Linked DNA regions of Oryctolagus cuniculus. The protein of the gene in region 1 purifies or fractionates together with the protein of each later gene. This does not show direct contact. Links are inferred from orthologs where the notes say so. Each region holds a gene or a part of one and is shown in the gene's direction. Other genes may lie near its edges. The genes, in order: EIF4A2, EIF4G3, EIF3H and EIF4G1.

Region 1 (6,059 bases):
TGAGTGATAGGGATCCAGTCACTTAATCCTTCGTCTGCTGCCTCCCATGGTGTTCATCAGCAGGAAGCTGCATGGGGAGCAGAGCAGGGACTTGAACCCAGACACTGGATAGGGGAAGCAGACGTCCCAAGTAGCATCTGAACCACTCTGCCAAACACCGGCCTCTTTATTTATTTATTTTTTGCTTATTTTAAAGCATTACTAATTTATTTATTTGAAAGTCAGCAAGAAGGAGAGGTAGATAAATCAGTGAGAAGGAGAGGTAGAGAGACAAAGAGGTCTTCCATCTGCTCAACAAGCTCCCCAGTTGGCCACAACAGCTGGAGCTGTGCCAATCCAAAGCTAGGATCCGGGAGCTTCTTCTAGGTCTTCCCACGTGGTGCACGGGCCCAAGCGGCCTCTATTTTTTAAGTTCTTTTTTTTTTTTTTCTGACTGAAAGGCAGAGTGACACAGAAACAGTCTGATTTTTACTCATGCCACAGCTTTAGATTTCCTGCTTTGAAGTATGGTAATGTACTTTTATTTTAGTCTTTCTCCAGAAGGGTAGAAAAAAAAATTTTTTTAAAGATTTATTTATTTATTTGCAAGTCAGAGTTACACAGAGAGATGAGAGGCAGGGAGAAAGAGAGAGAGGTCTTCTATCTGCTGGTTCACTCCCCAGATGGCTGCAATGGTAGGAGCTACGCCAATCCAAGCCAGGAGCCAGGAGCTTCTTCCGGGTCTCCCATGTGGGTGCAGGGGCCCAAGGACTTGGGCCATCTTACACTGCTCTCCCAGGCCATAGCAGAGAGCTGGATTGGATGTGGAGCAGCCAGGTCTCAAACTGGCGCCTATATGGGATGCTGGTGCTTCAAGCCAGAGCGTTAACTTGCTGTGCCATAGTACCAACCCCAAGGGTAGAAAAAATTTTATGGGGCTGGCGCTATGGTGTAGTGGGTAAAACTGCCATCTGCAGTGCCAGCATTCCCATATAGGCATTTGTTCAAGTCCCAGCTGCTCCACTTGCAATCCAGCTCTCTGCTATGGCCTGGGAAAAGCAGAAGATGGCCCAAAGACCTTGCACCCATGTGGGAGACCCGGGGAGGCTCCTGGCTTCGGATCGGCACAGCTCCAGCAATTGCAGCCAACTGCGGGAATGAACCAGTGGATGGAAGACTTCTCTGCTTCTCCTTCTCTCTCTGTGTAACTCTGATTTTCAAATCAATAAATCTTCTTTTTTTTTTTTTTTAAAGAATTATACTGTAAGGTTACAGGCACCGCAGGTGTGGATGGTGACTCCGTTATGGGTTCTTAACTTGAAACTCCCTCAGCACTCCTGACCTAACTCATAGAGTTAGCCCTTGTCGATTTCCTCTCCTCAGCATCTAGTATAGTAACAACCCTGAAGGAGCCGCTCAACAATTAGGTGTTAATTGTTGATTGATTTCACCCCACCATCCACTAATTTCACCCTAAGACTCAAGTGTAATTAAATGGCAAGTCACTTCTCTAAATTCATATTTTCTTCAGTTTCTTAGGTCCCAGGGTAGTTTTAGATTTTTAGATGAGACTACAGTAGTCTCTAAAGTGCTATCATTCTCCAAAAATGCTTGGCATCACTTCAACTCCGGATCTGAACACCGCGGGGGGACAGGTAAGTGGCAGCAGCACCAGACTGAACACCAGGTCTGCTGTCACCTTGGTAGTCTTCATTTTTGTCACAGTTCCCGGCACAACCATAATCTTCAAATACATAGATGATGTCTTGAACAAGAAATAAGTGGCATTTAGAATCAAGTACCTTCTAAAATACAGAAAGCTGAGTCAGTTTCTCCAATAATCGGGGACTAGGTTGATCCGAAATGACAAGAAAGCATCTTCCTAGGCAGTCATATCTTGATTATAGATAGGATTGTATTTTACAAATAAATTATTAAATATATTGTTTTTATTTCGACCCAAGGGGCCTGCGTTGCAGCTAGTTGAGAACTTGTCTTGAGTTTAAGGAATCATGCAGATTATTTCAGCAGCAAGGACTGTATTGCTCTGAATTTCAGTAAATCAACATTTCACTATACACAGGCAACTAAAACTCAAAATCATTTTAAAAATGATCAATGCGGACCGGAATCAAAACGCATCTAGTTCCAAAGAGGTATAGACCGGTACCTCCGGAAGCACCGCTTTACATTCCCTCAGTGCAAGGAAAATTCCTGTTCCTTAGCTTTTTTTTTTTTTTCATCATTTGAAAGAAGTTTATAATGATCCTCACACCTGTTAGGTTAGAATCGTCAGCACGATTTTTTACCAGAGAGGATCAGTGGAGATGGAGTACGGAGTTACTACCACAGATATTAGTCTCGACGACACTAAGATTTTTTTCCTTGCTCTGCAAAATGCACCGGCCAACCGGATTTTCTGGGACGTGCTGGGTGGCCGACATTTTCCCTAGTCGGAATCTCTCCAAAGATCTGAATGCATGTCCAACGGTCGGGCTTACTGCTGGGCGGCTCTTGACCGCGGGACATGGCAGAAGAACCCTGGCCCTGCGGAGCAGAGCGAAGACGCCGGGACCCTGCAGGAGCCGAGCCCCGGCAAGGAGCCGCTAGTCCGCCCGCCGACCGCGGCCCGGCCACCGAGCGCGCAGCGCGCCGCAGGCTTCCGGCTCCCGGCCGCCCGCCGCCCGGCTCGGCCTCTGCGTCAGAGCCGCGGAAACCCCGTAGGAGCAGGCGGGCGGGGCGGGCGGGGAGCGCGGCGTGCGGCCGCCGCTGCTGCAATATTCTTCCGCCGCCACGCAAAGAGCCCTAGTTCGCCTCCAGGTTTTGGGATTTCCAGCAACCCTGTAATATCGAGAAATTACGACATGTGAATTTTTCCACTGACTTCCTTAGGAATCTTTCCTGAGAGAACGGCCCCAGGATTCTAATTTTGGGACTAACCAAAGCGCGGCGACGATATTCCTCCGCGGAAAACGGGTTCCGGCCGCGAGCCTATAAAAAACGGGTGGCACGGCGCTGCTGTCTTTTCAGTCGGGCGCTGAGTGGCTGTTCGGACATGTCTGGTGGCTCTGCGGACTACAACAGGTATGGCGGCCTCTCGGCGGTGGTGTTCTGTGGTGAAGGTCAGAGGGCGCCCAGGGAGGCTGTGGTGAGTGCTGTGAGGGCAGGAAGCAACAGGCTCACGGGTGTTTTCGTGGGCTACAAATACCCCCCCGAGTCCTTCGAGAAGCTTCCATGATGGGTAGGACTGCAGGGGGACGCGAGTTACGGAATTGGAGTGGTCTCCCCTTTCAAAGACGTCTAGAAATTTCGGCCTTCACTCCTCGCCGTGCGGAACACGGTACATATCTTAAATAAAAGCCGTGGCCCAATCCGCATTCGGAACGGGGTGGTAGGGGCCGACGCTTTCTTTGCGGTCAACGGCGCGAGTTGGTCTCGGGCTTCAGCCTGAGGGCAGTGGGGGCAGCGGGGTCCACTCCGCCGTGCCCGGAAGGAGACGGGACTGGACCGGCACCGGGGCTGGGGGCGAACCGTTGGCATTGCCCTCGCCGGGCCGCCCCGGCCGCGTCAATCACCCCGGCTTGCGCAGTGTCAGGGGCGGAGCTCAGCGCGTGGAGCTCTCGCGAGATCTTCGTCGCCAAAACGGGAGAGCCCGGGGGGAAGGGGCTGGTGTTGGCGGGGCCTGCGTTGGGGCTCTCCCGCAGGAGACATGCCGGGACGTTGCGTGGCCCGCACACGGGCTGCGTTTGCTCTCTGGGCAGCGTAGGGGCAGGCCCCGAGGCGAGGCGGGTGGCGGCGGCTTGGGAGCTGTCTTAACTGCTGTTGTGTACTTGCCCGCAGAGAACATGGCGGCCCAGAGGGAATGGACCCCGATGGTGTCATCGAGGTGAGAAATGGGTGTGGATTTTGAAGCCTTGCAAAGGTGTGTGCGCGCGCATCTCATTTATCCCATTTAACTTCTTTTTAAACTTAACAGAGCAACTGGAATGAGATTGTTGATAACTTTGATGATATGAATTTAAAGGAGTCTCTTCTTCGGGGCATCTATGCTTACGGTTTTGAGAAGCCTTCAGCTATTCAGCAAAGAGCTATTATTCCTTGCATTAAAGGTAAAAGAAAACTCTCTAGCATTTAAAAACAGAAAGTGAATTCACTGTTAATGATAGACCTGGACCATAAAAGGGAGCGGAACCTGTGGGGGACTAGCACCTGTTTGTATTCCTTAAAGTGAAATGATGGCAATCATCTTTCGGGACTGACCTGAAATGACAGAATACTCATTGCTGATCACTTGATTATTGGGGCATAATTTATGTTCCAAATGGAATACATGGTGTGAAGTAGAAGTGACAATTTGATGTGGGATCGGTAAATATGTATCCTACTTTTTTTAGGGTATGATGTGATTGCTCAAGCTCAGTCAGGTACTGGCAAGACAGCCACATTTGCTATTTCCATCCTGCAACAGTTGGAGATTGAGTTCAAGGAGACCCAAGCACTAGTATTGGCCCCCACCAGAGAACTGGCTCAACAGGTATTGATAGTGTAGTTCAAAAAAACTGCTTGCGTGTTGCATAGGTTTCAGGTTTCACAACTGTGAAGAATTTAAAATTTAGGGTAAATTAGTCCTGTCAGAGCCCTCTTAATTGTCCATGCATGCAGGGAGTTTTTGTTGGAGGTTACATAGGAACTGGGTGTCTAGGTACTGTGTGTAGGGTTGTCTCCCCAGACTGAGGCTGTGAAGCTTTCTGTTCAGGATACCCCATTCCTATATCCATTTTCCTTACGTTCAAGTGCAGTTGTGCAACATGAAAACTGCAGTGACATGTTACCATTTGACTGTCTCAGTAGTTTGTGATGCATCTGTTGCATGCTATGTTTTCAAAGCTTACTGTTAAATTGGCTTTGAAGTAAACCTTCCTAATAAAGCCACAGGCTTTATTATGGTCAAGATCATAAAAAGGTACAGTTCCCTGTGGGGAAAATGACCAACATTTGTCCTAGCTGTAATTAACAGAATTTAATCAATATTTACACCTTTCCTACATAATGAAGAATAAGATAGGATGTGCTTCCTTTTTTTTTTTTTTTTAGTTGCCTAGCAGATAATCTGGGGCAAGAGGATCAGTTTGAGGCATAAGAAAGACAGGGAATTTTATTCTTGAAGCAGTTAGTCTGCATTTTAAGCTTGGAAGTAGTTTGCTGTGCATGCATAAAAGCTATTGGCAGACCAGATAACTTGCCATTATGCTTTGGCAGTTAGTCATAGAAACTGCAGCCCTACAGGATAATAATTACCGATTTTGGCTTTTAGATCCAAAAGGTAATTCTGGCACTTGGAGACTATATGGGAGCAACTTGTCATGCCTGCATTGGTGGAACAAACGTTAGGAATGAAATGCAAAAATTGCAGGCAGAAGCACCACATATCGTTGTTGGTACACCAGGGAGAGTATTTGATATGTTAAACAGAAGATACCTTTGTAAGTATTCTCCCTTAGGAGAGTTTTACATATTAACTGTTGTAGCAGGAAAGAAGTCAAATGATCTTTTTTTTTTAATAGCTCCAAAATGGATCAAAATGTTCGTTTTGGATGAAGCAGATGAAATGTTGAGCAGAGGGTTTAAGGATCAAATCTATGAGATTTTTCAAAAACTAAATACCAGTATTCAGGTAAGTGTTCTAAAGTGTTCTTTTAAGTCTGATACCAAAAGTTTTAGATTTAACACAGGTGCAGTTAGAACATAACTGAAGTGTTTTATTGTTCCCCCTGCTTATACAACATTTGATGCAGAATTATCTGTCTACCTACCATTTCATAGTAGGACAGACACTTGGTCTGTTTTTCTAGTGTCTTAATGTGAAATGTGAAAGTTGTGCTACCAGCTGGTATGACAGTGCCATCATTGTCTTTTGAAGGTTGTGTTGCTTTCTGCCACGATGCCAACTGATGTGTTAGAAGTGACCAAAAAATTCATGAGAGATCCAATTCGAATTCTGGTTAAGAAGGAAGAATTGACCCTTGAAGGAATCAAACAGTTCTATATTAATGTTGAAAGAGAGGTAATTTATCTGTTAA
Region 2 (5,630 bases), on another chromosome or scaffold:
TCATCAGAAAGACAGTGTTCACGCGTGTTGAGTGCTTCCAAGGACACGTGAGGCCGGGTACAGCATCTCCCCGCTTCCTTAAAGGGGTTCTGTTTTATTCCTCTTAGTGCTGAATGTCAGAGCAGCTCAGCTCTCCGCAGCAGCGTTCAGTCTAAACCTAGACTTGAGAGAGGGCGTTGGGTTCTGGAGATCTGAAATGCAGGAGGTCTTTGTGGGTGTAGTTCGTGTTTTGAAAAGTAAGTCCCCAGTCGCTGTCAGATCCTCACAGGGCATCTGACGCTCAGAACGAGTAAGGATCGTGAGGCATACAACTTTTCATTAAGATGCTCTTACTCCTTCTCACACGACAGCCAGAGGAGAGGACAAGGCTTCATGATGAACTGGAAGAAGCCAAGGACAAAGCCCGACGGAGATCCATTGGTAACATCAAGTTTATTGGAGAACTCTTTAAACTCAAAATGCTGACTGAAGCCATCATGCACGACTGTGTGGTGAAACTGCTAAAGAACCACGATGAGGAATCCCTGGAGTGTCTGTGTCGCCTGCTCACCACCATTGGCAAAGACTTGGACTTTGAGAAAGCAAAGGTAAAAATTCAGAAACTTTCCACAGAGGCTCTGGGTTGCAAAATACTCTCTCACCCCCACAGCTGAGGCTGTTAATTTCCCTTTGTCTATCTAATCATCAGTTTTTGGCCAGCATGTTCCCTGCCACATTTGCATTAGAGTCATAGAGGAGCAGGTTCCAAATTATACAGAAGACAATTTGTAGATTGTTCACATTATTTGTCACTTGTCTCTTTTCTTCCTCCGTAACTATTTCATAGGTCATTTATTTGTACAGCAAGTTTTAAGCTGAAATAAAAAAAAGAAAAGCTACTATGTGTCAGGCTCTAGGGTGGTACAGAAATGTGGAAAACCCAGTAGTTCACTTTTTTTTGAAGATTTATATTATTTTAGATAGAGATTGGTCTTCCATCTGCTGGTTCACTCCCCAAATGGCTGCAATGGCCATGTCTGAGCCAGGCTGAAGCCAAGAGCCAGCAGCATCTTCCAGGTCTCCCACGTGGGTGCAGGGACCCAAGCCCTTGGGCCATTCTCTGCTTCTTTCCCAGTTGCATTATCAGGGAGCTGTATCAGAAGTGGAGCAGCCAGGACTTGAACCTTATAGGATGCTAGCACTGCCAGCTACAGCTTATCCAGCTATGCCACAATGCTGGCCCCTGGTTTTCTTCAAGTTTATGCTCTGATTAATGGCCCATCTAGCTAACCATAATATAAGAATTCACCAAAAATACTATAATTCAAACATAACATAGTACTGTCCAAGTAAGGTTTGTGGAAATGAGAAGTGCTTCAAAGAAATAATGTCAGAACTGTTCCATAACATTTGAGTCAGCTAGAATTATGTTTAGCTATGACAGAAAATCCCAAGTACCTGTAGTTTCTACATTATTGAAGTTTTTCACTTATATAAGCAAAGTTCATAGATAAGTCCTTGTAGCTTACTGTTTCACATTCCTAAGGTAGAACATTAAGTCCTTAGAATTCTCAGCAGGAAAAGTAGGAAAAAAGGGGGACAAAGGACACAGCTACCTCTCTCATAAGGAAGGTTCCAGGGAGCTGCAAAATAGCATTTCCATTATATTCTGATCTATAATTAATAGCATAAAAAAGCCACCTGCTCAAAAGTCTGAAAAGTGTAATCTTTTCTTTGGGCAATCATATGGGCAATTAAAAATCCTGTCATATTATTCCTTAAACATTTAAAAGCTCTCTATAATGAAAAAAAATCTATATCATGAAATTACATTTGAATTCTTTAGCCAGAAATACTAATGATCTTGTTTCTTGTAGCCACGTATGGACCAGTACTTTAATCAGATGGAAAAAATTGTGAAAGAAAGAAAAACCTCATCTAGAATTCGATTCATGCTTCAAGATGTGATAGACCTAAGGCTGGTAAGTAGGAAAGAAAAGGAAATATACTACTAGTCTAAATTATTTTAATAAATTGAATAGGAGAAGGATGTCCTAACGTTAACATGTATAAAAACTTAATGCTGGTGCCAGTGCTGTGGTGTAGAGGGTAAAACCACTGCCTGTGGTGCCGGCATCCCATATGGGCGCCAGTTCTAGTCCTGGCTGCTCCTCTTCCGATCCATCTCTCTGCTGTGGCCTGGGAAAGCACTGGAAGATGGCCCAAGTGCTTGGGCCCCTGCACTCATGTTGGAGACCTGAAAGAAGATTCTGGCTCCTGGCTTCAGATAAGCCATTGTGGTCATTTTGGGGAGTGAACCAATGGCTGGAAGACCTTTCTTTCTGTCTCTCCCTCTCACTATCTATAAATCTGCCTCTTCAATAAATAAATAAAATATTTTCAAAAAAAAAACTTATGGTTGGGGCTGGTGCTGTGGTGTAGCAGGTTAAAAGCACAGTTTACAGCACCGGCATCCCATAAGGGCACCTGTTTCGAGTCCTGGCTGCTCCACTTCCGAACCTGCTCCCTGCTAATGCACTTCAGAAAGCAGTGGAGTGTCGCTCCCCCTCTTCGTGGAGGAACGACACTAAACCCTGCCTAGGCTTCATATCCGAGTCACGGCACCATTATGTCGCTCCCCCTCTTCATGGAGGAACGACACAGGACCCTGCGCTGTTCTTTTGTCTGCTCGGCCCTCCCCGGGTTTGCTGCTGGTTCTTCCCGGGTTGGCTACTGACCCTTCCACCTCCGTGGAAGGGCGGTCCCCCCTGCCACTTTCCCCACTTCCGCGGGGGAGCGGCACACCGCCGGCCGGCTCTCTCAGGGGCTGCTCAGATGTTCCTCAGGTGTTCCTGGTGCATGTTGTCTCTCTCCTCCTTTATAGTCCTCTTCCACCAATCCCAACTCTGCTACCCACATGCCGAGTACGCTGCTCTCCTCCAATCAGGAGCAGGATCAGCTCCTGCAGGTCATCACTCAAGTTGGCGAGAGGCAGCTGCGTAGAAGTTGTTACTCCCTTCTCAGCGCCATATTGTGGGAGAACAGATGCATAGAATAAGTCTTAATTCCAGTAATAGTCTAGTCCGAGTTGCTCCCCACAGTGGAGGATGACCTAAGTTCTTGGGTCCCTGCCACCCACATGGGAGACCCAGATGAAGCTCCTGTTTCCTGGCTTCAGCCTGGCCTAGTGCAAGCCATAGTGGCCGTTTGGGAAGTAAACCAGCAGATGGAAAACCTCTCTCAGTGTGTCTTTCCCTCTCTCTCTGAAACCCAGAGGAAGCTCCTGGCTCCTAACTTCAGGCTGGCTCAGCCCAGGTTGTTGGCAGCTACTTGGAGAGTGGGCTAACAGATAGAAGATATCTCCCTCTGTGTCTCTGCCTTTCAAATAAATAAATCTTAAAAAAAAAAAAAATGCTTCTGACTGGTGTTGCAGTGCAGTAGACTAGGTTGCCACCTGCAACACCAGCATCCTGTGTCAGAGCACTGGTTTGAGTCCTGGCTGCTTTGCTTCCCGTCCAGCTCCCTGCTAATGCACCTGGGAAAGCAGCAGAGGATGACCAAAGAACTTGGGACTGCCTCCCATGTGGGAATCCCAGATGGAGTTCTGGGCTCAGGGATTCAGCCTGGCCCAGTCCCATTTGTGATCATTTGGGGAGTGAACCAATGGATGGAAGATTCTTTGCCACTCTGCCTTTGAAATACATAAAATGTGTCTTTAAAATAAATAAACAAATAAATAAAATTAATGATTTTGCTTCAATACTCTCTGATCTTGAACTGGTGTATTCCTGAGAGAGTTAGGAACCTCTTAATTGTTGCGTGTTTCTACTCCTTACTTTGATTATCAGACTACATTGCAGTTTTGAAATAAGCAGTTCTGAATTCAGACTGTGGTCAATTAAATTTAGTTTTCGTGAGCTAAATGATCAGTCTGATCTTCACAATGAATGTTTGACTTTGCTGAGCCTTACACTTTTAATCTGTAAAATGGGGATGTTGTCTGCCTTGCAGATTTGTTGTAAAGATTCAGCGAGATCATTATGGAAAGTGCCCACATGTTGATGTTTTCTGCTCTATTGTTTTTCCTATAAACCCTCTTATTCTATAATAATGTTTTTCTCTTCTTATACCACATACAGTGTTTATCACTGTAGCCTGATTTCTTCTCTTAGTTAACTCCTGTAGGGAATATAGTGCAGCCAGCCCAAGGAGAGAAAGTAAATGCGGGGCACACCTCTTTCCTGTCTGAATCCAGCACTGGTGATGGTTCTCTGTTTTGCTAAAGCCCCGGCATGGCGTTGGGATCTCTCCTATTACCAAAGCCACTTGCATACTGGTGTGGTTTTTTTTTTTTTTTTTTTTTGACAGAGTGAACAGTCAGAGAGAGAGAGAGAGAGAAAGGTCTTCCTTTGCCGTTGGTTCACCCTCCAATGACCACCGCAGCCGGCACACCGCGCTGATCCGAAGGCAGGAGCCAGGTGCTTCTCCTGGTCTCCCATGGGGTGCAGGGCCCAAGCACCTGGGCCATCCTCCACTGCACTCCCTGGCCACAGCAGAGAGCTGGCCTGGAAGAGGGGCAACCAGGACAGAATCCGGTGCCCCGACCGGGACTAGAACCCGGTGTGCCGGCGCCACTAGGCGGAGGATTAGCCTGTTGAGCTGTGGCACCGGCCTGCATACTGGTTTAAATCTGTTTGCCATCCTTGCCTCTGTCTAATAAGTAGAAAATACTTCCCCACCCATGCCTTCAGCTCCTTTTACTTGTATCAGATGTTAGAACATTAGGAAATGGAACAGGAAAGTATGAAGAGGCAACTTTTGGCCTTAGTAGAGGGGATAACCAAAGGGCACAATGGTGTGACACTTTGTGCAGGATCCAGAACCCTGATATTGGAGGAAGAAGAATGCTAGTCATCTTCTAATTAGACTCCCTATGGAGTGTGATATGAACTAATAGAACCCCTAGATTAAGGCAATGCCAAGGAACCCTTGTCCTTCTTGACTCCTCTTCCCTCTCCTCCTTTCAAATGTGCAGAATAATGATAAAATACATTTGGGCCAGTCTGTCCATTTGCTGTTGGAATGTGCATTGTACAGTTAAGTTGGTCAGGGTTGATTGAGAAGAATTTAATTCTTAACTCTAATTACCATACTGTACACAGTGCCATCCACATGACAGATGGAAAACTGCCATAATCTCAGATTTTGTAGGTAGTTTATACTTTTCTAGCAGTGAAAATTAAAAACTTATAATTTAATTTTATTTTTATTTTCAGCATCTGGCTGATAACCTGATTTTTCACTTTTCTAGTGTAATTGGGTGTCTCGAAGAGCAGATCAAGGGCCTAAAACTATTGAGCAGATTCACAAAGAAGCTAAAATAGAAGAACAAGAGGAACAGAGGAAGGTGCAGCAGCTCATGACCAAGGAGAAGAGAAGACCAGGTGAGTGAGGAGTCCACTGCGCTTTAGAGGACAGGGAGCTCGAGGGAAAGGTGTTGGAGTATTCTAGAGGGCAGAGTGTGGAAGATGCCACCTGGGGTATTGGAGGGCCTGGTTTGAGTCACAGCTCCACTCCTGATCCACTTCCTGATAATTATATCCTGGGAATACAGTAGGATGCTGCCTCCAAGTACTGGGTTATCTGCCACC
Region 3 (5,630 bases), on another chromosome or scaffold:
TCATAAAGGATTTGCTGTACATCTTTTACTAACAGATTAGTATTTATTATTTTTAATTAAAACATTTTTTTCTTTATTATTGATGTAACAGTGAGTGAATGCACGATATTGCTCTTACTTCCCAAACTATTGATAAACTTCCCAAACACCTGCAACACTTAGGGCTGGCCCCTGAGAAATCAGTCCGGGTCTCGCACTTGGGTGACGGATCCACATATTGGCCATTACCTATTGTCTCCCACGGTGTGCCTTAGCAGGAAACTGGAATTGGGAGCAGAGATGAGACTTGAACTCATGCACTCTGCTGCATGATGTGGCTTCCCAAAGAGAATCTTAATCTGTAGGCCAAATGCCTGCCCTTATTACTAATTGATTACTTTAATTATCAGTTGAGTTACTGATAGAAAAATCAGCATCTTGTTAAAGTATACATACAGGCTTTGGAACTTGCCTGGTTTAAATGCTGACTGCCAATTCTAGATGGCCTTTAGCCATTGTTTCTTCTCTGGGTTCTTTTGCGTAAAAGTGCCTTTCTCCGAAGGTGGTTGTGTGAATAACCCATGTAAAAGTAGGTAGAATGTTACTTGGTGCATAATGTTCAATAAATGTGACTTGTTACTGACTCATAATTACTATTCCTGTTAATGTATTTGGGATGAACACTAATCAATAAAGTACTAATAATTTGTTATTTTGTTGTTAGGCTTAATTTCTCTGTGAGAACTTCTTGCATTTTAGGCTGTGTTGCTATTTAGGTCTTCAGGTCATGGGCTTATGTTAAACATCACTATTGTTAACAAGTAGGTGCTGAGCAGTAGTCAAAGCACTTTCCATATAGTAACAATCCTATGTTGTAAGAATTATTAGGAATGGTTACCATGAACTTTGACATTAACTGTCTATGCAGTCATACACTGTAGTGTCTCCTTTGTCTTTGTGTGAATATTTTTTTAAAAAAGATTTTTATTTATTTGAAAGAGTTATGGAGAGAGGTAGAGACAGAGGTCCTCATCTGATGCTGGTTCACTCCCCAAGTGGCTGCAGTGGCCGGAGTTGAGCCAATCTGTAGTCAGGAGCCAAGAGCTTCTTCTGGGTCTCCCAGGTGGGTGCAGGGGCCCAAGGCCTTGGGCCATCTTCTGCTTTCCCGGGCCACAGCAGAGAGCTGGATCAGAAGAGGAGCAGCAGAGACTAGAACAGGTTCCCTTATAGGATGACAGTGCTTCAGGCCAGGGCTTTAACTCGCTGCTCCACAGTGCCGGCCCCTTTGTGTCAGTCTTAAAGAAGACAGTCAAACAAGAGTTGTTTATTCCAGTAGCGATTATTCAGTGTATCTCTCTGGTTGAGGAAAATTAGGCAGTACTGGATACCAGGTTTTTTTTTTTCTTTCTCTCTCTCTCTCTCTCTCTTTTTTTTTTTTAACCTATAAAGAGTGTTTAATATAGCAAATTGGATATGGGCTAATACCCAGGCCTTCCTAGTGAATGTATGACTGGGCATGCTCCTCTGGATCATAATTTGTCTTGCTATTCAAAATCTGAAAATTTTTTTATAGAGAGAGCTTTTATTTAATAAGTACAAATTGCATAGGTACAACTTTTAGATTATAGCAGTTCTTCCCCCCATACCTGCCCTCCCCCCTATACTATCCTACCTCCTACTCCCTCTCTCATCCCATTCGTCATTAAGATTTATAATTACCTTTATATGCAGAAGACCAGCTCTATACTAAAAAGATTTCAATAGTTTGCACCCACACAGACACACAAAGTATAAAGTACTGTTTGAAGACTAGATTTACCGTTAATTCTCATAGTACAACTCATTAAGAACAGATGTCTTACATGGGGAGCAAGTGCACAGTGACTCCTGTTGTTGATTTAACAATTGACACTCTTATTTATGATGTCAGTGATCACCCAAGGCTCTTGTCATGAGCTACCAAGGCTATGGAAGCCTCTTGAGTCCACAAACTCTGACATTATTTAAACAGGGCCATAATCAAAGTGGAAGTTCTCTCCTCCTTCTTTTCACTGAGATCTCACGGAGATCTTTCATGTAGGTCATTTTTTGCCACAGTGTCTTGGCTTTCCATGCCTGTAATGCTCTCATGGGCTTTTTAGCCAGACCAGAATGCCTTAAGGGCTGATTCTGAGGCCACAGTGCTGTTTAGGGTGTTTGTCATTCTATGAGTCTGTTATGTGGCCTGCTTCCCATGTTGGATTGTTCTCTCCTTTTTAATTCTATCTATTATTATTAGCAGACACTTGGTCTTATTTATGTGATCCCTTTGAAACTTATTTCTGTCTTTATGATCAGTTATGAACTTAAACTGATCACTTTAAGTTGTAAGATGACATTGGTACCTGCCAACTTAATGGGATTTGGAGTCCAACGGCAAGTTTTTAGCTTTACCTTTAGGGGTAAGTCTGAGGGAATGTGTGCTGAACTGTACATCTCCTTGCTCTCTTGTTTCCACTCTTCTTTTTAACAGGGACCAATTTTCAATTGGATTTAAACACCTAAGAATAATTCTGTGTTAAGTGAAGAGTTCAACCAGTGGTATTAAGTAGAAAAAGAAAATACTAAAAAGAATAAAATAGTAAGCTGTTCCTTGACAGTCGGGACAAGGGCTGATCAAGTCATTGCTTCTCATAGTGTCAGTTTCATTTCTACAGATTTCTTTTTAGGTGCTCAGTTAGTTGTAACCTATCAGGGAGAACATATATTTGTTCCTTTGGGACTGGCTTTTTTCACTCAGCATGATGTTTTCCAGATTCTTTCATTTTGTTGCAAATGACTGGATTTTATCATCCATATCAAGAAGTTACCTTCCTGGGGGCTGGTGCTGTGGCACAGTGGGTTAAAGCCCTGGCCTGAAGTGCCGGCATGCCATATGTGCACCGGTTCTATAGTCCCAGCTGCTCCTCTTCTGATCCAGCTCCCTGCTGTGGCCTGGGAAAGCACTAGAAGATAGCCCGAATTTGGGCCCCTGCACCATGTGGGACACCCGGAAGAAGCTCCTGGCTCCTGACATCAGATTGGTTCAGCTCTGGCCGTTGTGGCCATCTGGGGAGTGAATCAATGGATGGAAGACCTCTCTCTGTAACACTGTCTTTCAAAAAATAAAAATAAATCTTTAAAAAAAGAAGTTACCTTCCTGTTAATAGGATAACTTTCCCAGTGATACCTCAGGCTGAAGGAGGTGTTGTTTGATTTGCCTGAAGGAACGCCTGGATACTAGACTCTTTGGGGAGTGTTGAGTTAGGGATTGTGAGTGTAGTACACAGATATTTTTGGTATATCTTCAGACTCCGGGAGTTTCATATTTACTTTTAGATTATGGGAGCTTTATTATTATATAACGGTAAAGGAAATGGTTTGTAAGGCATTTGTTTAATCCTATGTAGTTTTGTGTTTTTGCAAATCCGCTAATAATTGCTTACCTGTTTTTCTTAGAAATAAAGGATATAAAAGGAGAATGATTTTTAAGCCCCTTTCTGTATTTCTTTTAGGTGGTATTAAAGATAATAAAACATTATCAAGAAGAAGGTCAAGGAACTGAGGTTGTTCAAGGAGTGCTTTTAGGACTGGTTGTAGAAGATCGGCTTGAAATCACCAACTGCTTTCCTTTCCCCCAGCACACGGAGGATGATGCCGACTTTGATGAAGGTAAGGGTTTTCATCTCATGTGTTTTCTGCAGTGCATACAAATGTGTAGTAGTATCAATCTCACTGTAAACTTTGACCATTTGTTACCAGGCTAGCCTCATTCATTTGATTTCTGAGCTTCTTGGAAAAGTTACATAAATTTTGGGAAATGAAGATTATATCATAAATTTCATCAGTTTGACCTTTGCCTATTTGGGATTTGTGATTCTGATATGTAGTACAGCAGTTACCCTTATTATCTGAAGAGGTTATATTCTAATACCCCAGTGAGTGTCTGAAACTATGGATAGGACTGAATCCTAAATGTACTCATGTGTTTTTCCCTTTAAGCACATCGGTAATACAGTTTATAAATTATATAAACTTTTTTTTTTTAAGATTTATTTTATTTATTTGAAAGAGTTAGAGAGAGAGAGAGAAGTCTTCTATGCGCTGGTTTCACTCCCCAAATGGCTGCAGTGGCCGGAGCTGTCCCTATCTGAAGCCAGGAGCCAGTAGCTTCTTCTGGGTGTCCCATGTGGGTGCAGGGGCCCAAGGACTTGGGCCATCTTCTGCTATCCCAGGCCCTAGCTGAGAGCTGGATTGGAAGAGGAGCAGCTGGGACTAGAACCAGAGCCCATATGGCATGCCAGCACTTCAGGCCAGGGCTTTAACCCGCTGTGCTACAATACCTGCCCCAAATTATATAAACTTATTTAATTTATCGATGATAAAGTTTGACATATAAATCAGGCATAGTAAGAGACTAACAACAGTAACTAATAATAAAATAGAGTAATTATAGTACAATACTATAATAAAAGTTATTTACCACTTGTATATTTTTTCTTTCTGGAATTTTTCCGATTTAATATTTTTGGACCACAGTTGACTGAAGGTAACTGAAACCTCAGAAAGCAAAACCATGGACAAGGTGGGGTTGTTGGATAGAGGTTGTACTGATGCTCACTTTTTCATTATGAAGTCAGCTTGCCAAAGTGTGAAGAACATGGACCCATCATTATGTATACAGCATCCATTCTCTTCTCTCCAATTTTGAATCACCCAGTGTTTTTAAGATTGATTTATTTGAAACGGAATTACTTAGAGTTATCAAGAGATACCTTCTGTCTGCTGATTCACTCCCCTAAATGGCTGCAATGGCTGGTGCCTTGCCAGGCCAAAGCCAGAAGCCTGGAACTCCATCCAGGTCTTCCATGTAAGGGGCCTGAACACTTGGGCCATCTTCTGCTTTTCCAGGCACATCAACAGGGAGCTTGATCAGAAATGGAGCAGCCAGGACTTGAACTGGCACTCATATTGTATGCTTGCATTGCAGATGGCCACTTACCCTGTTGTGCCACAATGCTGGCCCCTCCCCAGTGTTTTAGAAGAGATGAGTTCAGCTGTCTGCTTCATAAAGAATATTCTCAAGCATTTCAGAAGCATTTGTTTCTCTACTGCAGTTAGTCATTGTTGTGTCAGCAGAGGCCTCTAGTAATTAAAAGCTCACACCAAAGGCATACATTTTATGAGATTATTTTAAAATCTAGTTGAAAATAATTTATCAGTTGTTTGAATCTTCAAGACTTTATTGTGGTGAAAAGCACCAGGCACCATTTTTTTTTTCTGTTTAAGTTTGTCTACTTTCAATAGCTCATATAAGTGGAATTGTACAGCGTTTGTCCTTTTTTTGTGTGTGTGACTGGCTTATTAGTGTAATATCCTCAGTGTTCATCCATGTTGTGGCATGTGATACGATTTCCTTTTATTTAAGACTGATTAATCCATTGTATGTGTATATCATATTTTCTTTATTTGTCTGTTGTTGGACATTTAGGTTGCTAACACCTTATAAGTGTTGTAATAATTCAGTGAACATGGTATTCACACTCTATGAAATCCTGTTTTTAAGTCTTTTGGATATTTACTCAGAAGTAGTATTTTTTTTTTTTTAAGATTTATTTATTTACTTGAAAGAG
Region 4 (5,630 bases), about 2.5 Mb from region 1:
GATTGGCCTCTATCTGGCTCCAGCTGTTAGGGGCATTTGGGGAGTGAACCAGTGGATGGGAGCATTCTCTATTTTTCAAGTAAATTTTGTTTTAAAACACCAGTGTGAAGTAAGTTGAAACGGAATGTCTCAAGTACTGTGAGGTTGCTCACCAGCATTTGCAGTGTTCATGCAAGAAGGCTTTCTTTGAAGGGCACTGAAGTTGCTTTATGAAAGTTGATTGGTGAGTGTAAAGGTGGCAAGATGGGGAAAGGCTGTTTGGGTGTGGTTGTGAGAAACTGGAACATGCAGTTTCAAAACAATATACCTCTCTGGTACCTGCAGGAAAGAGACTGGGTTAAAAGGACTTATTCTCTCAGTGTCAGATGGTCCTTTTAGGTAGGTAAACATACGTACCAGGACAGTTTCTGTTCATAAAATAAGCATATTATACTCTTTCTGTACCTACGGTCCTTAATTTATGAGGGTTTCAATTTAGGATTTTTCAGCTTTGTGATAGGTTTTTCAAGGTATCGAGTGCATTTTCAGTTTAGGGTATTTTTGACTTAGAATGTTCTTTTTTTTTTTTTTTTTTTTTTTAGAATGTACTTATTTGAAAGGCAGAGTTACAAGAGGCAGGGAGAGAGAAAGAGGTCTTCCATCCAATGGTTCACTCCCCAGATGGCCACAGTGGCCGGAGCTGGGACGATCTGAAGCCAGGAGCTTCCTCTGGGTCTCCTACGCAGGTGCAGGGTTCCAAGTACTTGGGCCATCTTCTGCTGCTTTCTCAGGCCATAGCAGAGAGCTGGATTGGAAGTGGAGCAGCCGGGACTCAAACCGGCACCCATATGGGAGGCACTGCAGGCAGTGGCTTTACCTGCTACGCCACAGCGCTGACCCCAGGTTGGTTGCTTTGTTTTGAAACGTAGCCCCATTGTAAGTCAAGAAGCATATGTCATTGATCTAAGGTGCTGTGGATTGGAAGATTTCTTACTGATGCATTGCTAAGAAAAAAGACTCATGGTCTTATTTTTAAAATGTAGTAGTGTATCAGCTGTGATGTGTCTTACTTACAGTGTTTAAAATATGAAGAAATCATTTAAAATAGAATCATGAAATTTTGTTTTAAATATTTTACTTAATTATTTTGGAGGTAGAGTTAGAGACAGTGAGAGGGAGAGACAGAGAGAAAGGTTTTCCTTTTGTTGGTTCACTCCCCAAATGGCCAATACGTCCGGAGCTGCGCCAATCCGAAACCAGGAGCCAGGTGCTTCTTCCCGGTCTCCCATGTGGGTGCAGGGGCCCAAGCACTTGGGCTATCTTATACTGCTTTACCAGGCCACAGAAAAGAGCTAGATTGGAAGAGAAGCAGCTGGGACTAGAATGGGCGCCCATATGGGATGCTGCCGCAACAGGCGGAGGATTAACCTACTGTGCCACAGCGTCGGCCCCATGAAATTAACAGCTAATATCATCACTCTGCGTATTTTTTGTTATAAAAGTGATACCGGCCGGCGCTGCGGCTCACTAGGCTAATCCTCCGCCTAGCGGCGCCGGCGCACCGGGTTCTAGTCCCGGTCGGGGCGCCGGATTCTGTCCCAGTTGCCCCTCTTCCAGGCCAGCCCTCTGCTGTGGCCAGGGAGTGCAGTGGAGGATGGCCCAGGTGCTTGGGCCCTGCACCCCATGGGAGACCAGGAGAAGCACCTGGCTCCTGCCATTGGATCAGCGCGGTGCGCCGGCCGCAGCGCCCATTGGAGGGTGAACCAACGGCAAAAGGAAGACCTTTCTCTCTGTCTCTCTCTCTCACTGTCCACTCTGCCTGTCAAAAAAAAAAAAAAAAAAAGTGATACCTGTGGGGTCTCTTGCTCCTTAAAGAAAATGGGCTCAGGCTGCTATTTAAGATTTACTTATTTATTTTAAAGAGTTACACACACACGTGCGCGCACATGGAGAGAGAGGGAGGGAAGGAAGGAGGAAGGGAAGGATCTCTTCATCTGCTGGTTCACTCCCCAAAAAGCCACAATAGCCAGGCTAAAGCCGGGAGCCCGTACCTCCATCCTGGTTTCTCACGTGGCTGGCAGAGTCCCAGGTACTTGGACCATCATTCACTGCTTTTCTAGCCTCATTTGTAGGGAACTGGAAGGGAAGCTGAGTGGCCAGGACTTGAACCAGTGCTCTGGGATGGGATGCTGTCATTGCAAGCACGGCTTAACCCACGAGTGCCACAGGGCCAGCCCTGCATTACTGTTTTTGTGGGAATTTCTGGTTTGTGTTGTGGGGGTGAGGGTGTATCTGCTTTTGAGACTTTCTGGTGACGTTGGAAGACTAGGAGGGAGGAGGGTATTTGCATTTGCTTGTTCACGGTTTTGAGGGCCTTTCCCTCATCCTACTGGCAGTACTGTGGTAGACGAGTTCCTGTTTATCTGTGTGGGTATCTGATGTCTGCCCTGCACTGGACTTCAGGGCGTGGAAGGGTTGTGTCTATGGGGTACCTCTGCCGTCCTTAGCTTCCAGCAGGTACCTAGTGGGCTTTCAGTGAGTACCTGCTGGATGATTGTTGTGGAGCTGTTTGGTCCTTGGAGAGACGGGGTGGCTGAACTGGTCTTGTATTTTTCCAGGGCCCCAAAAAAGTGGGCATATTGTGGCGTGAGGCTGGGCTCAGCTGGAAAGAATTTCTGCCTGAAGGCCAGGATGTCGGTGCATTCATCACTGAACAGGTTTGGGGCTGGAGTTAGGTTAATTTTAGCTTCTGGGCCTGGCCAGTCTTCTCCCTCTGCCTTCATCTCTCAGGTGGCACAGGGGACCTGTTGACTGGGTCTTTTTGATTGCAGAAGGTGGAGTATACCCTGGGAGAGGAGTCCGAAGCCCCTGGCCAGAGGGCACTGTCCTCTGAGGAGCTGAGCAGGCAGCTGGAGAAGCTGCTGAAGGAGGGCAGCAGTAACCAGCGAGTGTTCGACTGGATAGAGGTGTGAGGTGGGGGGATGAGCGGGAGGGTTTTCTTAGAGTGAAGTTTGGGGGTGCAGGAGTGGACCTTGGGCCTGATTTTCAACCTGTGGACCATGTGTCTCTTGTGCAGGCCAACCTGAGTGAGCAGCAGATAGCATCCAACACATTAGTTCGAGCCCTCATGACGGCTGTCTGCTATTCGGCAATTATCTGTAAGAGGAGCCAGGGAGGTGGTGGGAGCAGGGTGAGGGGTTCAGCCTTTGCCTCCTAGGTCTGAAACAGCTTATGAACTATTATTTCACTTGCCCCTGTCTTCTTTCCTGCAGTTGAGACTCCCCTCCGCGTGGATGTCGCAGTGCTGAAAGCGCGAGCGAAACTGCTACAGAAATACCTGTGTGATGAGCAGAAGGAGCTGCAAGCACTCTATGCCCTCCAGGCCCTTGTAGTGACCTTAGAACAGCCCGCCAGTAAGAGCCAGGCCTCGGGGATGGGGGTGGGCTGGAGGGACCACTGGAGAGCAGAGAGTAGTCAGGGAAGGGTCTCAGTCCGCGAAAGGCTGATAGTGCCCTGATGGTTTGGTGCCTTCTCCCTAACTTTATTTCTCTGTCTACAAATGGAGGAAGTTGGACTTAGCCTTGAAGGTTAATGGACTGACTGCTTTGTGCTTAGTATCTGTTAGATAGCAGCAGTAAAGGTGAGAACATGATAGCATCTGTCAGGGGCTGCCATGTGCCATGGCTGTCTGGCACAGGGCCGGAGGCTCAGCTTGCCTGCCTCATTTAGTTGTCACCATGGTTGTTTAGGGTAGATGGTGTTACCCCTGTTTTCTGTATTGAGAGGCTGAATCTTGGTTACATGGGTGAGGTTATGCACTTGAGTAATAGCTGTGTGTTATCAGGGCATTGGGGTGCTCACAGCGACTAGGCCAGCTGCAGGTCTCGTGCTGACGGGGAGTGATGAGGTGGGGGTGCTGTCTGCAAGCACACTAGTCTCAGGAGTGGTGACTAGGAAATTGGCCAAGTGACCAGTGGGAAGTAGGGAGGGAGCTTTTAAGCAAACGCAGGATGGGGCTGGAGAGAGACAGGGCCCGTGTTGTGTAGGACTGCTATCTTGATCATCCTGCCACAGTGAGAAGAAGGGTTTGGGGTGGTATAAGTGAATGTGGCAGGACTGGCACTGGTGGCTCAGCCTGGCTGGTGACAGTAGAGGTGAGGGAGGAGCGGTGGGCAGAGTTAAATAACTCTGGAAGTGAGGTTAGCAGCTCTTGGTCACACCAGCCTGGGGAGGGGGCCGTGAGAGACTGGGAGTCATGAAGGACTCTCAGGATGGCTTCAGCAGGTGAGACAATGGTGTGGTGCTGGGATCGGGAACACTGGAACAAGTTGTCAGCGCTCGCTGTGTGAGAAGAGCCAAGATGTCAGTAGCTGGGTGTCGGTCCATCTGGGAAGAGGAAGAGGGCAGGGCAGGGGGCAGCTCTGAGTTGCTCTTAGAGGTTTAGGTGTGCAAGGCCTAGGAGGAAGGAATGGGGTTGTCTGAGGAAGTGGTGAGGCCTGGGGATAGGATCCTGTGGAGGTGGTGCACACACAGGTAGAGATCAGAGGAAGGCTGAGCCCTGTGAACAAAGTGGAAGTCCCAGATGCGCCTAAAGTTCATAGGGACATGACTGAAAATTAAGGGGCTCTGGGATCTAAAATCGGGGTGACCACCACAGCAGAAACTATTTGGTGGGGTCGGGGGAGGGCTCTGGATTGGAAAGGATTGAGAAATACTTGAGTAAAACAAGAAGAATGGAAAACAGCAAGTATAGACAATCTTCTTGAGTGTTATGAGACAGAGTCTTTGTTTGGTTAGAGGGCTGGGTGGACATTGATTGTATAGGATCCACAAGGTGGTGTGCCTGGGATTGGGAGTGCCACTGTGGGGCAAGTGGAAGATGAGCCATTCTTCTGGGATCAGAGTCTGGGCCGGGGTGGGGCTGGGGTGAGTGGCGGGGGCCCAGCTGTGTGCATTGGAGGGGGAGAGTGCCCTCGTGGAGTCCTGACTCGGTCAGGGACTTGGCAGGTCTGACTGTAGTTCTGTGCTGTTTCACTTCGCTTACTCTACTGCCCTCTGGTTTTAGGAATGTGCAGTTTGGTTTAGGAAGACTGGTAGTTCATTGTGGGGACTCGGGTAGGTTGTGTTCAGGGGATAAGACAAGTGCTTGGGAAAGGCTGCCTCGCAGCGAGGTGGTGAACAGTGACGCAGAGTGTCCGGTTGAGTCTTGAAGAATTCCAGGAAGGTGACGAGAGAGGATGGTCCTGGCAAGGGGGGTAGCACCTGCAGATGCGTCCAGGGCTAGAGAAGGGTATATGGGAACAAAGAATTGGGACCAAGAGTTTTTGTTGAGATGTTTGGGGCTCAGTGAATGTTCTAGATTATACCCTCAACATTTATGACTTGGATTCCCCAAAATCAGGAGCATCAATTCTGTGCATTTTTCCCCATTAAAGATATCTTGAGTGGAGAAATTAGAAGCTGCCAAGGTGAGGCTAGGCGAGTTCATGTTTTTTTTTTTTCCAATGGCTGAGTGACTCATTCCTGCACACCAATCTCTTCGACCATGAGATTAACGTCCTGTCAGACCTAGTCACTCTGGACTGGTCAGACACAAATGACAGGCTGGTGGGTGAGGGTCTTGTTTTAACCCTGGAGCTTGGGAGGGACCC

What was found.
Region 2: the proteins of EIF4A2 (region 1) and EIF4G3 purify together in Homo sapiens (affinity purification with mass spectrometry; 3 studies listed by BioGRID and IntAct, with this or other methods). This does not show direct contact. The link is inferred for Oryctolagus cuniculus from reciprocal best matches to the Homo sapiens genes EIF4A2 and EIF4G3.
Region 3: the proteins of EIF4A2 (region 1) and EIF3H purify together in Homo sapiens (affinity purification with mass spectrometry; 3 studies listed by BioGRID and IntAct, with this or other methods). This does not show direct contact. The link is inferred for Oryctolagus cuniculus from reciprocal best matches to the Homo sapiens genes EIF4A2 and EIF3H.
Region 4: the proteins of EIF4A2 (region 1) and EIF4G1 purify together in Homo sapiens (affinity purification with mass spectrometry; 6 studies listed by BioGRID and IntAct, with this or other methods). This does not show direct contact. The link is inferred for Oryctolagus cuniculus from reciprocal best matches to the Homo sapiens genes EIF4A2 and EIF4G1.

The regions. Positions count from the first base shown.
Region 1 is NC_091435.1:96,443,403-96,449,461, forward strand, and holds the start of EIF4A2 (eukaryotic initiation factor 4A-II), read left to right. Parts: upstream 1-2,635; 5' UTR 2,636-3,034; coding exon 3,035-3,063; exon of another isoform or gene 3,064-3,127; intron 3,128-3,819; coding exon 3,820-3,865; intron 3,866-3,955; coding exon 3,956-4,088; intron 4,089-4,204; exon of another isoform or gene 4,205-4,272; intron 4,273-4,373; coding exon 4,374-4,513; intron 4,514-5,293; coding exon 5,294-5,462; intron 5,463-5,543; coding exon 5,544-5,653; intron 5,654-5,899; coding exon 5,900-6,043; intron 6,044-6,059. UniProt on the Homo sapiens protein: ATP-dependent RNA helicase which is a subunit of the eIF4F complex involved in cap recognition and is required for mRNA binding to ribosome.
Region 2 is NC_091438.1:149,925,581-149,931,210, forward strand, and holds part of EIF4G3 (eukaryotic translation initiation factor 4 gamma 3), read left to right. Parts: intron 1-350; coding exon 351-587; intron 588-1,856; coding exon 1,857-1,961; intron 1,962-5,290; coding exon 5,291-5,423; intron 5,424-5,630. UniProt on the Homo sapiens protein: Component of the protein complex eIF4F, which is involved in the recognition of the mRNA cap, ATP-dependent unwinding of 5'-terminal secondary structure and recruitment of mRNA to the ribosome. Functional homolog of EIF4G1.
Region 3 is NC_091437.1:142,343,215-142,348,844, reverse strand, and holds part of EIF3H (eukaryotic translation initiation factor 3 subunit H), read left to right. Parts: intron 1-3,512; coding exon 3,513-3,669; intron 3,670-5,630.
Region 4 is NC_091435.1:93,904,113-93,909,742, forward strand, and holds part of EIF4G1 (eukaryotic translation initiation factor 4 gamma 1), read left to right. Parts: intron 1-2,597; coding exon 2,598-2,696; intron 2,697-2,810; coding exon 2,811-2,945; intron 2,946-3,055; coding exon 3,056-3,137; intron 3,138-3,251; coding exon 3,252-3,392; intron 3,393-5,630.